Mus musculus: one gene and its partners. The main gene of each other region encodes a partner of the protein of the gene in region 3 in a complex. Links are inferred from orthologs where the notes say so. Each region holds a gene or a part of one and is shown on either strand. Other genes may lie near its edges.

Evidence for each region.
Region 1: the proteins of Ccnt1 (region 3) and Cdk9 are in contact, whole or in part, in a crystal structure (PDB 3BLH), measured with the Homo sapiens proteins. The link is inferred for Mus musculus from reciprocal best matches to the Homo sapiens genes CCNT1 and CDK9. Residues at the interface, in NP_001231.2 of Homo sapiens: Arg5, Lys6, Arg11, Trp12, Arg26, Ile72, Gln73, Phe78, Phe89, Leu90, Lys93, Val94, Pro98, Lys99, Lys100, Leu101, Val134, Glu137, Ile139, Leu141, Gln142, Thr143, Gly145, Phe146, Glu147, Leu148, Thr149; in NP_001252.1 of Homo sapiens: Val8, Glu9, Cys10, Pro11, Phe12, Cys13, Lys56, Glu57, Gly58, Phe59, Ile61, Leu64, Ile67, Lys68, Gln71, Leu72, Leu81, Ile82, Glu83, Ile84, Arg86, Ile99.
Region 2: Ccnt1 (region 3) and Sart3 share a complex: the UniProt entries of both Homo sapiens proteins name them as parts of the 7SK snRNP complex. The link is inferred for Mus musculus from reciprocal best matches to the Homo sapiens genes CCNT1 and SART3.

Annotation. Positions count from the first base shown.
Region 1 is NC_000068.7:32,709,880-32,714,140, forward strand, and holds the start of Cdk9 (cyclin-dependent kinase 9), read right to left. Parts: upstream 2,906-4,261; 5' UTR 2,778-2,905; coding exon 2,686-2,777; intron 2,234-2,685; coding exon 2,152-2,233; intron 913-2,151; exon of another isoform or gene 689-912; coding exon 598-688; intron 331-597; coding exon 164-330; intron 66-163; coding exon 1-65. UniProt on the Homo sapiens protein: Protein kinase involved in the regulation of transcription.
Region 2 is NC_000071.6:113,769,580-113,773,943, forward strand, and holds the start of Sart3 (squamous cell carcinoma antigen recognized by T-cells 3), read right to left. Parts: upstream 2,822-4,364; 5' UTR 2,057-2,821; coding exon 1,742-2,056; exon of another isoform or gene 1,618-1,741; intron 1-1,617. Other genes in the region: Iscu (iron-sulfur cluster assembly enzyme ISCU, mitochondrial), read left to right, coding at 3,006-3,365. UniProt on the Homo sapiens protein: U6 snRNP-binding protein that functions as a recycling factor of the splicing machinery. Promotes the initial reassembly of U4 and U6 snRNPs following their ejection from the spliceosome during its maturation.
Region 3 is NC_000081.6:98,540,873-98,543,787, forward strand, and holds part of Ccnt1 (cyclin-T1), read right to left. Parts: coding exon 2,339-2,915; 3' UTR 1-2,338. UniProt on the Homo sapiens protein: Regulatory subunit of the cyclin-dependent kinase pair (CDK9/cyclin-T1) complex, also called positive transcription elongation factor B (P-TEFb), which facilitates the transition from abortive to productive elongation by phosphorylating the CTD (C-terminal domain) of the large subunit of RNA polymerase II (RNA Pol II).

The DNA of each region.
Region 1 (4,261 bases), on a different chromosome or scaffold from region 3:
GCCAGCTTCAGGACCCCATCCCGGGTAATGAGCACATTCGCAGCCTTCATGTCCCTGTGCAGGATCTGAAGGGAGGACACACAAGAGCTCAGTCAGGTTTCATAGCATCCTGGAGCCTGGCCTACACAGCAGTCAAGAGCAGAGAAGCCCCATTCTGCCCCACCTTGTTCCTGTGGATGTAGTAGAGGCCGTTCAGCAGCATCTGCATCACTCTCTTGATCTCAGACAACGTGAACTTGACTAAGACGTTGCTCAGCAGCCCAGCAAGGTCATGCTCACAGAAGTCAAACACCAGATAGATGCTGCCCTTGCAGCGGTTATACGGTGAGGCTGATACAGAAGGGGCAGAGAGAAAAATAAAAAATAAAAACCTGCATCCACCTCATTTTCCACAGCCAACTCCCAGCCCTCCAACCCACAGACACCCAACTCCAAACAAGACCAGAGAAGATGGGGGGCCGGCACTCGGGAGGCAGAGGCAGGTGGACCTCTAAGTGTGAGGCCAGCCTGGTCTATGGCGCAAGGTCCAGGACAGCCAGGGTTACACAGAGAAACCTTGTCTCAAACCCCCCTTTTCTCCTGAGGCAAGCAACACACCTTTGGTCCGACAAATCTCAATTAGGTTCACCACATTCTCATGTTTTAGGAGCTGTAGAATCTTGATTTCCCTCAAGGCTGTGATGGGGAACTAGGGAGGAGAAAGAGGAAGTGGTCAAAATTGAGAGCACAACAGACGGAGGAACTGTGGGTGGGGTGGGGGTGTGTTTGGGGTCTATACTGAGGGACAGAGGTTGAAAGACAGGCGAGAGAATCGTTCCTGTGTGATGGTTCCTATCTGGAATCCAATTCTCGTATCAGGAGACAGAGACATCAGAACCACCAAGTTCAAGGCCAGACTGCTTAGTTGAGCTCCTGATTCAAAAAGAAGGGAGAGGGGAAGATATATCTATATTTATCTGTAGCTAGCCTTTGCAAAATATAAAATAAGTGCAAACACACACATATCTCAAGGAGCTGCTAAATGTTGCCATCTAGATAATGGTGGCCTTGAACTTGTTTATGAACCATCTTTTTTCCCCAGTCTCATAAGTGCTGGGATTATAATCACAACCCTTTACTCCAGACTGGGAATTTATTTTAGACAACCCAAATAAGGATAAACATTTTGTCACTAACACTTGTGAGTTAAGATCAAGAAATTTGTGGGGCAGTGGTGGCGCACGCCTTTAATCCCAGCACTTGGGAGGCAGAGGCAGGTGGATTTCTGAGTTCAAGGCCAGCCTAGTCTACAAAGTGAGTTCCAGGTCAGCCAGGGCTACACAGAGAAACCCTGTCTCAAAAAAACCAAAAAGATCAAGAAATTTCCTGGGAATGGAGATAGTTGAATGGTTAAGGAAACTGGCTATGGTCACGTGTGGCAGTCCAGCCCTTTATTTCCAGCAGTCAGGAAACACAGGCAGTTGATCCTCTGTGAGTCTGAGAACAGCCTGGACCAAACAGTGAGTTCCAGGACAGTTGGGGCTACAGAGAGATTTTGTGTCAAACAAAACATAGAGTCCCTGTTTCAGGGAAACACACACACCACAGCACTGGCTATCCTCCCCCAGGACCCAGGTTCAATTCCCAGCACCCACACAGTGGATCTTTTGTCCCAAATGATCCAAGGCAACCTGGCACACCTTTCTGGCTTCCTCAGGTACCCAGGTACTGGAGAATAGTGCTGTACACAGACATGCCAGAAAACAGAAGACCCTATAGACGCAAAGTAAGACAAACAGCATTTTCCTTACAAAGGCAATGCTGCTGAGGCTGATGGAAACAACACCTTTCAGAACATCACCTTAAGCTCAGCGGCCTTTTAAACGGCTTGTGCACAAATGGTCTCTTCATACAAAACAAAATTCAACGCCAAGCTAAGCTGAAAGTTTTCTAGAGTCAACCTGCACTCCATGGGAAAAGCACAGGCTCCCTCCCGTGGCTCCCACAGAACTCTGCCACTAAAGCTCAACAGTGTAAATGGAAAGCCAAATTCCTTGTTCCATGGAAAACCGAAAAACACTAGGTCGAATCTCAGCACAAAACCCTTTGAAGTAGCGGTGTGGAAACCCAGCCAGGTTAGAAGAAGGTCGGCCCAGTGGTCCATATACTCACCCCCTCCTTCTCATTCTCCATCAACACTTTCTTCAGAGCCACCTTCTGGCCCGTCTGACGGTGCTTGGCTTTAAAGACTTCCCTGCAGGCACAGAGAAAGACCCAAGGGACCCATAAGGCATTTCCGCAGGGAGTGCCCCTCCCCCGCGCGAAGGGGAGCAGCAGGAGCCCAGACCCACGGCGGGCGGGGTGCGGCCTCGGATCCGGGACGCGGTCATTCCACACCGCGTGTCTTCCGTCCTCCTCCCGGCCTCTGCTTACTCCTACTCAGCCCCTACTCCTCCCCTAGAGGTGGCCGCTCACATTCGGAGTGGCTCTCAGCAACCCTACCCAACCCCCATCACGGGCCCCAGGCTCCTCCCCGCCAGTCGGCTCGGTTGGGCCGGGAACGTCTGCGCCGCGGCCGAGCAAGACCGGGCAACAGCCACGAAAACAGAAGCTTCCGGACCACCTCGGCCCGGGCTCTGGGCGACCCGACGTCGGCCCTGGAAAGTGCAGGTCCCGGGCTCGCGGTCCCACGCGGCCTAATCTTACCCGAATGTGCCTTGGCCGATCTTGGCAAGTTTCTCGTACTTGGTGACCTCATCGCAGAACGGGCATTCCACCGAGTCGTACTGCTTGGCCATGGCCACCTCCAGCGCGCCTCCGCCGCCGCCGCCGCCGCCGCCCCCAGCCGCAGCTCCCGCCGCTCCCGGTCCCGCCACACTCCAGGCCCCTCCGCGGCCGCGCCACTTCCGCCTCCACGGCCACTTCCGGCCTCGAGGTGCCGAGCCCGCCTCTTCCGGTCTCCGCCCGCCGCCAGGCCCCCTGGGACTTGTAGTTCCCGGGAGGCCAGGGGGAGCCGGAGCTGCAGAGGAGCCTCCGCCGCCGCCACTGCCCCCGCCTCCGCCGCCGCCGCCAGCGCTGTTGGCGGCCCCGATCGGGGGCGCAGGAAGCCGTGGCGCTGGGGCTGGGGCTCGCGGCGGTGCGTCCCGCTGCATTGGCCCGGGCCGTGCTGCTGCCGAAGCTGCTGCCGCTCTGGCTCCCGATCCGGGGCCAGCCGCAGTGCCCTGCTCCTCCTCCTCCGACGGCGCCGCCTCCGCCGGGCTGCGCGGGGCGGCGGGTGGTGGTGGGGGGAAGGCCTGGGGGCGGAGGCTCCCTGGCCAAGCCCGGCCCGGGGCGGCAGGGCAAGGGGGCGAGATAGGCAGAGCAGACGAGGAGGCGGCCCGAAAGCCCGGGAGGGGGCGCGTTATAAAGGGGGAGGTGCCCGTCCTGGCCTCCCCTCCCCCTCCGCCCACCCCCTCCCTCCTCCTCCCACCCTTCGCAGCCGCACCTGCCGCCGCCGCCTCCCGCCCTCCCGCTCCCAGTCCAGCGTCCGCCCTCGGCGCGTCACTGCTCGCAGCCCCTCCTCTGCCTTTGGAGGTGGGGCTCCGCACTAGACACCTGCCTGCGGCTCCCTCCTGCGTGCCTCAGTTTATCCCCCGAATGCCAGCTGCTACAGAATGGCCCTTCTTCCAGGACCGGGAGTGTGCTCCCGGTGAGGCGAAGGCAGGAGGTGCCGTGGGAGCGGCCTTGAGGCCAGGGGAAGAGAGAACTGCCCCCGCTGCCGCCTCCGTCGTCTCAGCCACCCGCCGTTGACATGGCAACTGACGGCCGCCAGGGGGCGCGGCGACACTGTGGGCGGTGAGCGATCAACGCTCAGGCCTAAACCCTTGGATCTTGTGTTGTCAGGATGGATCTACTACAACCTTCCTTCACAGAGCCGCGCCAAAGCTGGTCTGTCCAGAGTCAATCATCCCCAAAACTGTTAACATTGAGCCGGCACTCCTGATGCTTTTGAAATGGGCGTGAGCCGGGCCTTGATGGCGCACGCCTTTAATCCCAGCACTTGGCAGAGGCAGATGGATTTCTGAGTTCCAGGCCAGCCTGGTCTACAGAGCCAGTTCCAGGACAGCCAGGAAAAACAACAATAACACAGAGAGACAGAGAGGAGAGTCTGAAGTCTGTTCTGTCTTCCTCTACTGTCTTGAAATTCTGAGCTGATCATGGCCGATTTTTCCAGCGTTTACCTCCTGGTCTGTGGTCCTACAAGCTCCCTTCTGTTTCAGTTTCCCAATCCCTCCTGTCTTCA
Region 2 (4,364 bases), on a different chromosome or scaffold from region 3:
GACCACAGGTGACTGGAAGAGATCGAGTCCCACTTATGGGAGTTCGGATCAGCCATCCTACCATTTCTGAGCCTTGTTTCCCCACGAGAACAGGTTTCATCTCTCTGGGGCCCCACTCCTCCACATCTTTACCTTGTGCTATGAACAACTGGGCGCACCAGATCTTGGTCTTCCTGGCGCAATGGTTTACAGCTGGGTTTGCCCAACAGGAGGTACTGGCAGAAGCATGGGGGGGGGGGAACATATCAGGTCTCCAGTCCCGCTGTGACTAGCACCCCTGGTTCTGCTCCCACACTTTATAGACAGTGACTGACTATTCATGCACCTTTGCTCAAACCATTCTAATCTGAATTCATCACCTACCCCTGCTAGCATACTGGATTATAAAGGAGTTATCACCAATAACAGATCAGGGACCGCTTTACTACCTGGGACCAGGCACTGGGGCCATAGTTACCATGGCAACTTCATTAGGCAGGAGTCATGGGCTATAATGATTATTTCACAGAAATTATTGCTCCTAATCTACAGTGGAAGCTGTTTAAAAAAAAAATCACTGAGGACACATGAGTATTAGTTGTTACCGAATTCCAAAAGGATGCAGCCTTGGCGATTAGGAACATTGGCTGCTCTTCTAAAGAAACCAGTTTTTAATTCCCAGCAACCACAGAACCCCTGACAACAGTCCCTAATTGCAATTGCAGTTCGAGGAGACCTGATGCTCTCTTCTGGTCTCTGCTCACACACCCATTCGGGGAAAACACTCATACACGTAAATTAAAAGGGAGTTGGGGGCGCTGGATATGGCAGCTCTGGCCTGGTAGGGGCGACAGAGGCAGGCATATCTCTGTGAGCTCCAGGCCAGCCTGGTATACATAATGAGTTCCAAGGCAGTCAAAGCTACATACTGAGATCCTGCCTGAAACCCCGCCCCCACAAAAAAGAAAGAAAGAGGGAGAGAGAGACAGAGAGACAGAGAGAGAGAGAGTGAGTGAGTTGGGCCCTGGCCTTCAGACCAAAAGCCTCAACCTCTGCACTTCTATTACAGTCGCGTTCGTTTTTTTCGTTCTACACCACTTTTGACCACTATTACTATCCTTAAAGGAAAATAAGTTCCCCTCCGACTGTCAGACAGTTAAACCACTTGGTTAAGAGTGACAGTCCGGCCGGGCGTGGTGGCGCACGCCTTTAATCCCAGCACTTGGGCGGCAGAGGCAGGCGGATTTCTGAGTTCGAGGCCAGCCTGGTCTACAAAGTGAGTTCCAGGGCTACACAGAGAAACCCTGTCTCGGAAAAAAAAAAAAAAAAGAGTGACAGTCCGGGGCTGGAGAGATGGCTCCGCCGCCACACCTGATGACCAAGAGTTCAATCCCCGGAACACACATGGTTAAAAGACAACCGTGTCCACGCAGGCATACAAGCACAAGTTTAAAATAAGAAGAAAAAAAAGAGAGAGTAAAAGCTTAAAAAGATAAACACTCTCAGGTGCGGTGGCACCTTGTGCAGGAGCCCCCTCAACGAGCCTCAGTTTCCCGGGGAAACCGGATTAAACACTATTCAATGGAATACTTTAGGGACGCCCTGGGCGCGCACTGAGCCGGGGACGCGGGGACTCACGGTGGCTCACGGCGTCCCGGCGACCTCAGCGGTCTCCATAACCACGGAGGACCGAGGGGGCGGGCCGGGCCTGGGGACCCGAAGGGAGGAAGGGAGCCCGCCGCCGCCACCCAGGCCGGCCAACCTGCTCCTCCAGCCGCTCGATCTCCAGCTGGTTCTTCTCCTCCTCCTCGTCGTACTCCCACTCGTCCTCCCCGGCGGAGCTCTCGGCGGAGGAAGCCATGGCGTCCTCCTCATCCCCATCGCTCCCGCTCGCGCCTTCCCGCTGCAGGTCCCATCCGGGGCCCTTGGCCTCCGCCGCCTCCGCGGCCACAGCGCCGGACAGCACCTTCCGCTGCACACCGGCCGGCTTCGCCTCATCCTCTTCTCCCTCGGCCTCAGGCCCGGCCTGGGGCTCAACCTCCGGCTCGGACGCCGAAGATGCGGCCGTCGTCGCCATCTTGCGCAGCCCGCGACTCTCGGGTCTTCCCTCGCCCGCCGAAGCCCGGCGAGCATCGGGCTGTCCGCGGCGTCTGCCTGATCAAAACTCCGCTCGGCCACCAGCGGGAGCGTCGCGGACGGCCTCAGGGAGCAGGAAGCTGTGGAGAATCCACCGCTGATGCTATCCTTTAGCGCCTCCAGACGCCACCGTCAGAAGAAAAGGCTCACGAGCATAACCTGCGTCCGGCTACAACCGTGGACAGCTGTCGGGTCTTTGGGCCGGAAGTGGCAGCCACAGCTGAAGTGGTGCGTGCGTGATGTCCGTAGTTAAGGTCGAGGCGCCATCTTAGGAAGGTCAAAGTCGTCGCTTTGGACTAAAGACCTTCTGTAAGGCTCGGCCGGCTCCGGTGCGTGGTTGTTTCCCGGCAACCGACCCTCAAGTGCGGACAAGATTGCAGTTCCTCCGCGATCGGATGCACCATCTCATGGGAAAAGTCTCATCTCTCGAATAAAGCTCCCTCCCCTTTGTAACACCTAGTACCTCGTAGTTGTGTTAAACGAGTCGCTTTTGTGGATTTTTATAGTCAATGATAATACATTACAATAAGTATTGATTCGGAATGATGTGCATGGCGGTAAAACAAACGTAGGTGTCGAGGGATGGGGTTCGTTTCTCTTATACCCCTCGTTCTCGAGGTCGGAAAAGCGTTGCTGTTTCCCTCTGCACTGCCTTTCCCCTTCATCAACAAGGTTAACGAGCCAGAAATCGCGTCCGTTTTGCTCCCAGGATTTTTTTTTTTTTTTTTTTTTTAGTGACACCTAGAGTACACTTAATATGCATTTGCTCCATGGGTGAAACGGCTACCTCGGAATTAGTAAAAAAAAAAAAAAAAAAAAAAAAGGAAGAAAGAGAGAGAGAAAGAAAGAAAAGGAACTCCACAGCCTGAACAAAAGTCTACCAGGGACGTATGCATGATCGAATCATAAACACGCCTGAAACCGAGCATCCCCACGCCCATCGCAGCACCAGACAACCTTGCACGCCGCTTCGGACCTTCCCGCTCTGCGCCTGGCCACGCCCCTTCCGAGGGCGCGGTCAGAGGGGGCGTAGCCGGGCCGAGACGCCAGCGCAAGCGCCGAGCTGCGGTGACGTCGAACGGGCGCGCCATCCCTCCGGCGTCGCCGAGGTCGACGCAGCTCAAGCCGGCAGGATGGCGGCGGCCACGGGAGCTGGCCGTCTGAGGCGGGCGGCGTCGGCGCTGCTGCTGCGGAGCCCGCGCCTGCCCGCCCGGGAGCTGTCGGCTCCGGCCAGGCTCTACCACAAGAAGGTATGGGCGGGCGAGGGGGTGCGCGAACCATCGAGGGGACCTGCCGCCGTTGCGCAGATCACCAGCACCGAGGAGCCCCGCGGCCGCCTCTGCCCCGCCGCGGCCGTCACTCCGAGTGTCCCAAGGCTGACAGCCCAGAAGGGAGGGTCCGGGTATGTCGTGCCGGGGGTCAAGGGGCAGCACGCACACACACACACACACACACACACACACACACGCATGCTTGAGCACACTCGACAGCACCAGCGTCCTCCCCAGCTAAGCCATTGCCCTGGCCAGATGGCCTTGATCAAGTCACTGGTCCCCTCCCATCCTTTCTCTCAGACCTGACAGGAGTCTTCTGAAGTCCCCGTACGTGGAGCGCTCGGTCCAACCAAGGGAAACCACTGATGGCGATTTATTTACTCTTTTAGGAGCCGATGGCCTCGAGCTCAGCCAAGCACCTAGCCCAACATTAAAACTTCGGTTCTCAGTTGTGTGTTTATTGGTAGGGAGCAGAAAGTATAGAAGAAGAGTAGTTTGCGGGCCCCCACGCTTTTAGGGACGTTAAAATCCTCTTGACAGGAGACTCACTCCGAAAAACAAGGCTACCGCAGATGTACAAGACACTCCCTCCCCCCCCCCCCAAAGTCCTTGATTAGATGATGCGTTATGGGGGCTCAGGGCTTAGACTCAATCTGCAGATGAGGGTGCCTCCTGGTAACTAGCGGGAGAAAGCTCGGTTATTAAATCTTAGTGTGTCCCTGACTTTAACAGCTGCTTGTTCTGTTCTGGCTTGGGTGCTCTTGCCCAAGGCCTTCTACCCCAAAGGGAAGGTTGTTTTGTTGACATTATAGCTGCAGGACCTTGACGGGCTGGCAGCCTTAAGGCACCAGGGGGCGCTCCTGCCACAGGGTAGCGCTGTGTTTATGTTTACAGCCACCAATGACTCGTTCGTTCCCCAACCTCCAGCTCATCTCTGACCTTGAAACTTCTGGGGAACTCTTCCATTTGGGGCTG
Region 3 (2,915 bases):
GACTCTAGTAAGCAGTTATTTCTAGTCCACTACAGAGTTCTAGGAAACTTAACAACAGGTTTACTGTGAAGAAATGCTATGACACCAAATATGACAACCTTTGTGCTAAGGGATTGCATGTGATTAGAAAACACGTGACATTAATGAGAGTGATTAAAAAAACAGTCCACGTCCCCAAATCAAATCATCACAGACAAAGATGCAAACTAAAAGGTACTTTTCCGTTTGGGAAGGTCAGGATGGAAAACAAAATCTCAACAAATACCAAGCCTAAAGTTAGTAATCATGATGACACATCTATCTTGCACAACACAGGAAATACCAAGAAAGAAATGTTACTTCAAAAGTTACACATCAAGAAATATCACTGGTTTATCAGCAAGGAGCTCCTTGTTGTGCACAGCAACGGCAGGCGCTGCAGACAACTCAAACATGCAGATTAAGAACCACAAAGTCACCGTAAGTAAGACATATTCCTTCCCATACATTCTCTCTCCGTTGGGCCAGTGTGTCAGCACTAGTAACTGCCTCAGTGTCTTTTCTAGTCTGTCCTTGGCAAGCAGCACCCGTACAACTTCTGTTTCCCTATGACTTTTAATGAAAAGATTCTGACTTCTCCCTAAAGACTACTTGGCATGACAGAAGCTTCATTAATTAAAACAAGAGACAAATTATTTTCATAGCACCATCTTATCCATACCCCCCAAAACCCACATATATGTGTGTGTACACATACACACACACACACATATATATGTGTATACATATATACACACACATACACACTCATGCAATGAACCAAATAACAGCAATGATCTGTGGCTAGGTAGCATTTTTCAGTCAGAAAGCTTGGCTTACAATTTTTATCTAGTCAGTATTTTTTCAAGATTTCCTTCATCAAATATATTTACTTCTAATGTCTGGAACAATCAAGGCCCATAACAGGATTCCTGATCCACTTTTTTAAAAGGACTTTAAGAATCTCTGTCTAGAATCAAAAGCCAGCCACTAAGAAATAATCTGAATACAACAGTGTCTGTTGGCTGGGCTTGCTCATGCATTATACCAATGCTGTGAAATTCAAGCTCTGACGCCAAACAGGCTGCACACTGCAGTTGTTTCCCACTAGATAAACTCTTTACATTCATAATGTAACTTAGACACCATGTCTTCAGAATTCCAAATCACAATTTCATTGTCTTTAGTATCTTAACCCCCTGGCTTCTCCCAGTCCTAGTAGCACACATGGTCTGGTCTTTTCAGACAGGACAAGCAAAGCATACCCTTCTTCCCTTCAGAGACCTGAGCTTTCTCGCAAAGCCCAACATGAAAAGACCCCATTCTGTAGGAGAGAGGCCGGCCTTGCTTTATAGGCTTCTTCCTCAAGCCCACCTCCATGCTGCGTTGAAAACACAAAAAGAAGTAACAGGGAAGTTTCCATACTGGCGCAGGAGTCAGGTCAGAACTAGAAGCGAGAGGGCTGCTACCACGCAAGCCTGCGGTGAAGGGAAGAGAGGACTCACACTGTCAATACATGTCTCTTCTTATTGTCAAAGCCAACTATCTCTCTAGTAGAATGCGGAGATGTGAAAATGGTTAAGAATGGGAGGAATAAAGTAACATGATTTTAAACACACGCGCACACGCATGCACACATACACCCACACACACACACACACAAGCACACACGCACTTTTAAAGATCTCAATACTTCAAGAGGCCTGAGCCTATTTCACTCTTGGCCAAGAGCCTACCCTCCCCCCCACCCTGCACACATTCCCACCCTCCCACCCCCCCCCCACCAGTCACTGCTATGTTCCTCATACACACAGCAAAATCCCTTTCCCTCCCGATTATATAAAAAAAACTAAACATAACTTACTTTCTTTAAATTATTTTTTAAAAGTCTCTTAAAGATTTGACGTTTAAATACTTCCTCTCTTCTGATATGTTTAACACCAAAAGCATCCACAACCGCTTGATATGCCCTCCACATTTTAGTTCTGGCAAGAAGAGGGAAGATAACTACTCCAATCAACCTAGTTAGGATGAAGAGAGGCCAAGAGTAGAGTGTGTTCTTCATCCTTCACAGCTTCGACATAATCCCACCTCTCTAATACCAGCACGAACTGTAGATGTGAGGCAGCAGATCGAATAACTGAGGCCCTCCCTCCACCACCCGCCCACTTGTCTCAATAGCAATTTACTCCTTAGGTGACAGATTTCATAAGGGATGTAATTTTCGTAGTCTAATATCAGTAGTCAAAACAAAAAAACAAAACAAAAAAGTGTTTTTTGTTTTTGAAGTTTTTGCCTCTTTTTTTTTTTTTTCTTTTTTTCACTTAGGAAGAGGTGGAAGTGGTGGAGGGGGTTCTGATGGGAGGGGTGGTGGCCGAGGTTTGTCTGTAGTGCCAGATCTGGAGGAGATGGCACCAGCTCTGGGATTCATATATTCACCATAAGAGTGGACAAATTCAAATGCAGGGGCCTGTGTGGGCTGAACCCCCTGGGCACTAAGCAGGGAGTGGAGCATATTCACAGTGTCTTGATAATCTATTGACTGAGTTGCGTTGTGACCATTAGCCCCAGGAGGGCCTTTATCCAGTTTCATATGAGGAACTCGAGTTTTACAGCTAGGCTGTGAAAAGGGCAGGCCACTTGTGTCTGAGCTATGCCCAGGCAACTGGGTCATTGTAGGAAGGGGGGGGAAGGGGAAATTCAAGGAAGATTTAGTACTCTTGGCAATCTTGGCTGGATGATCAAATACTGCTGCCCCAGTCTCTTCCGGGGGACCCCTTTTACGAGTAGAGCTGGAAGAAGACAAAGTACTGGACAAGCTGTAGGTTTTGTGTGCTAAGGTGCTTGTCTGGCTGCTGTGTTTTGGATCACTTGGGCGTTTGCTCACGGGGCCGGCT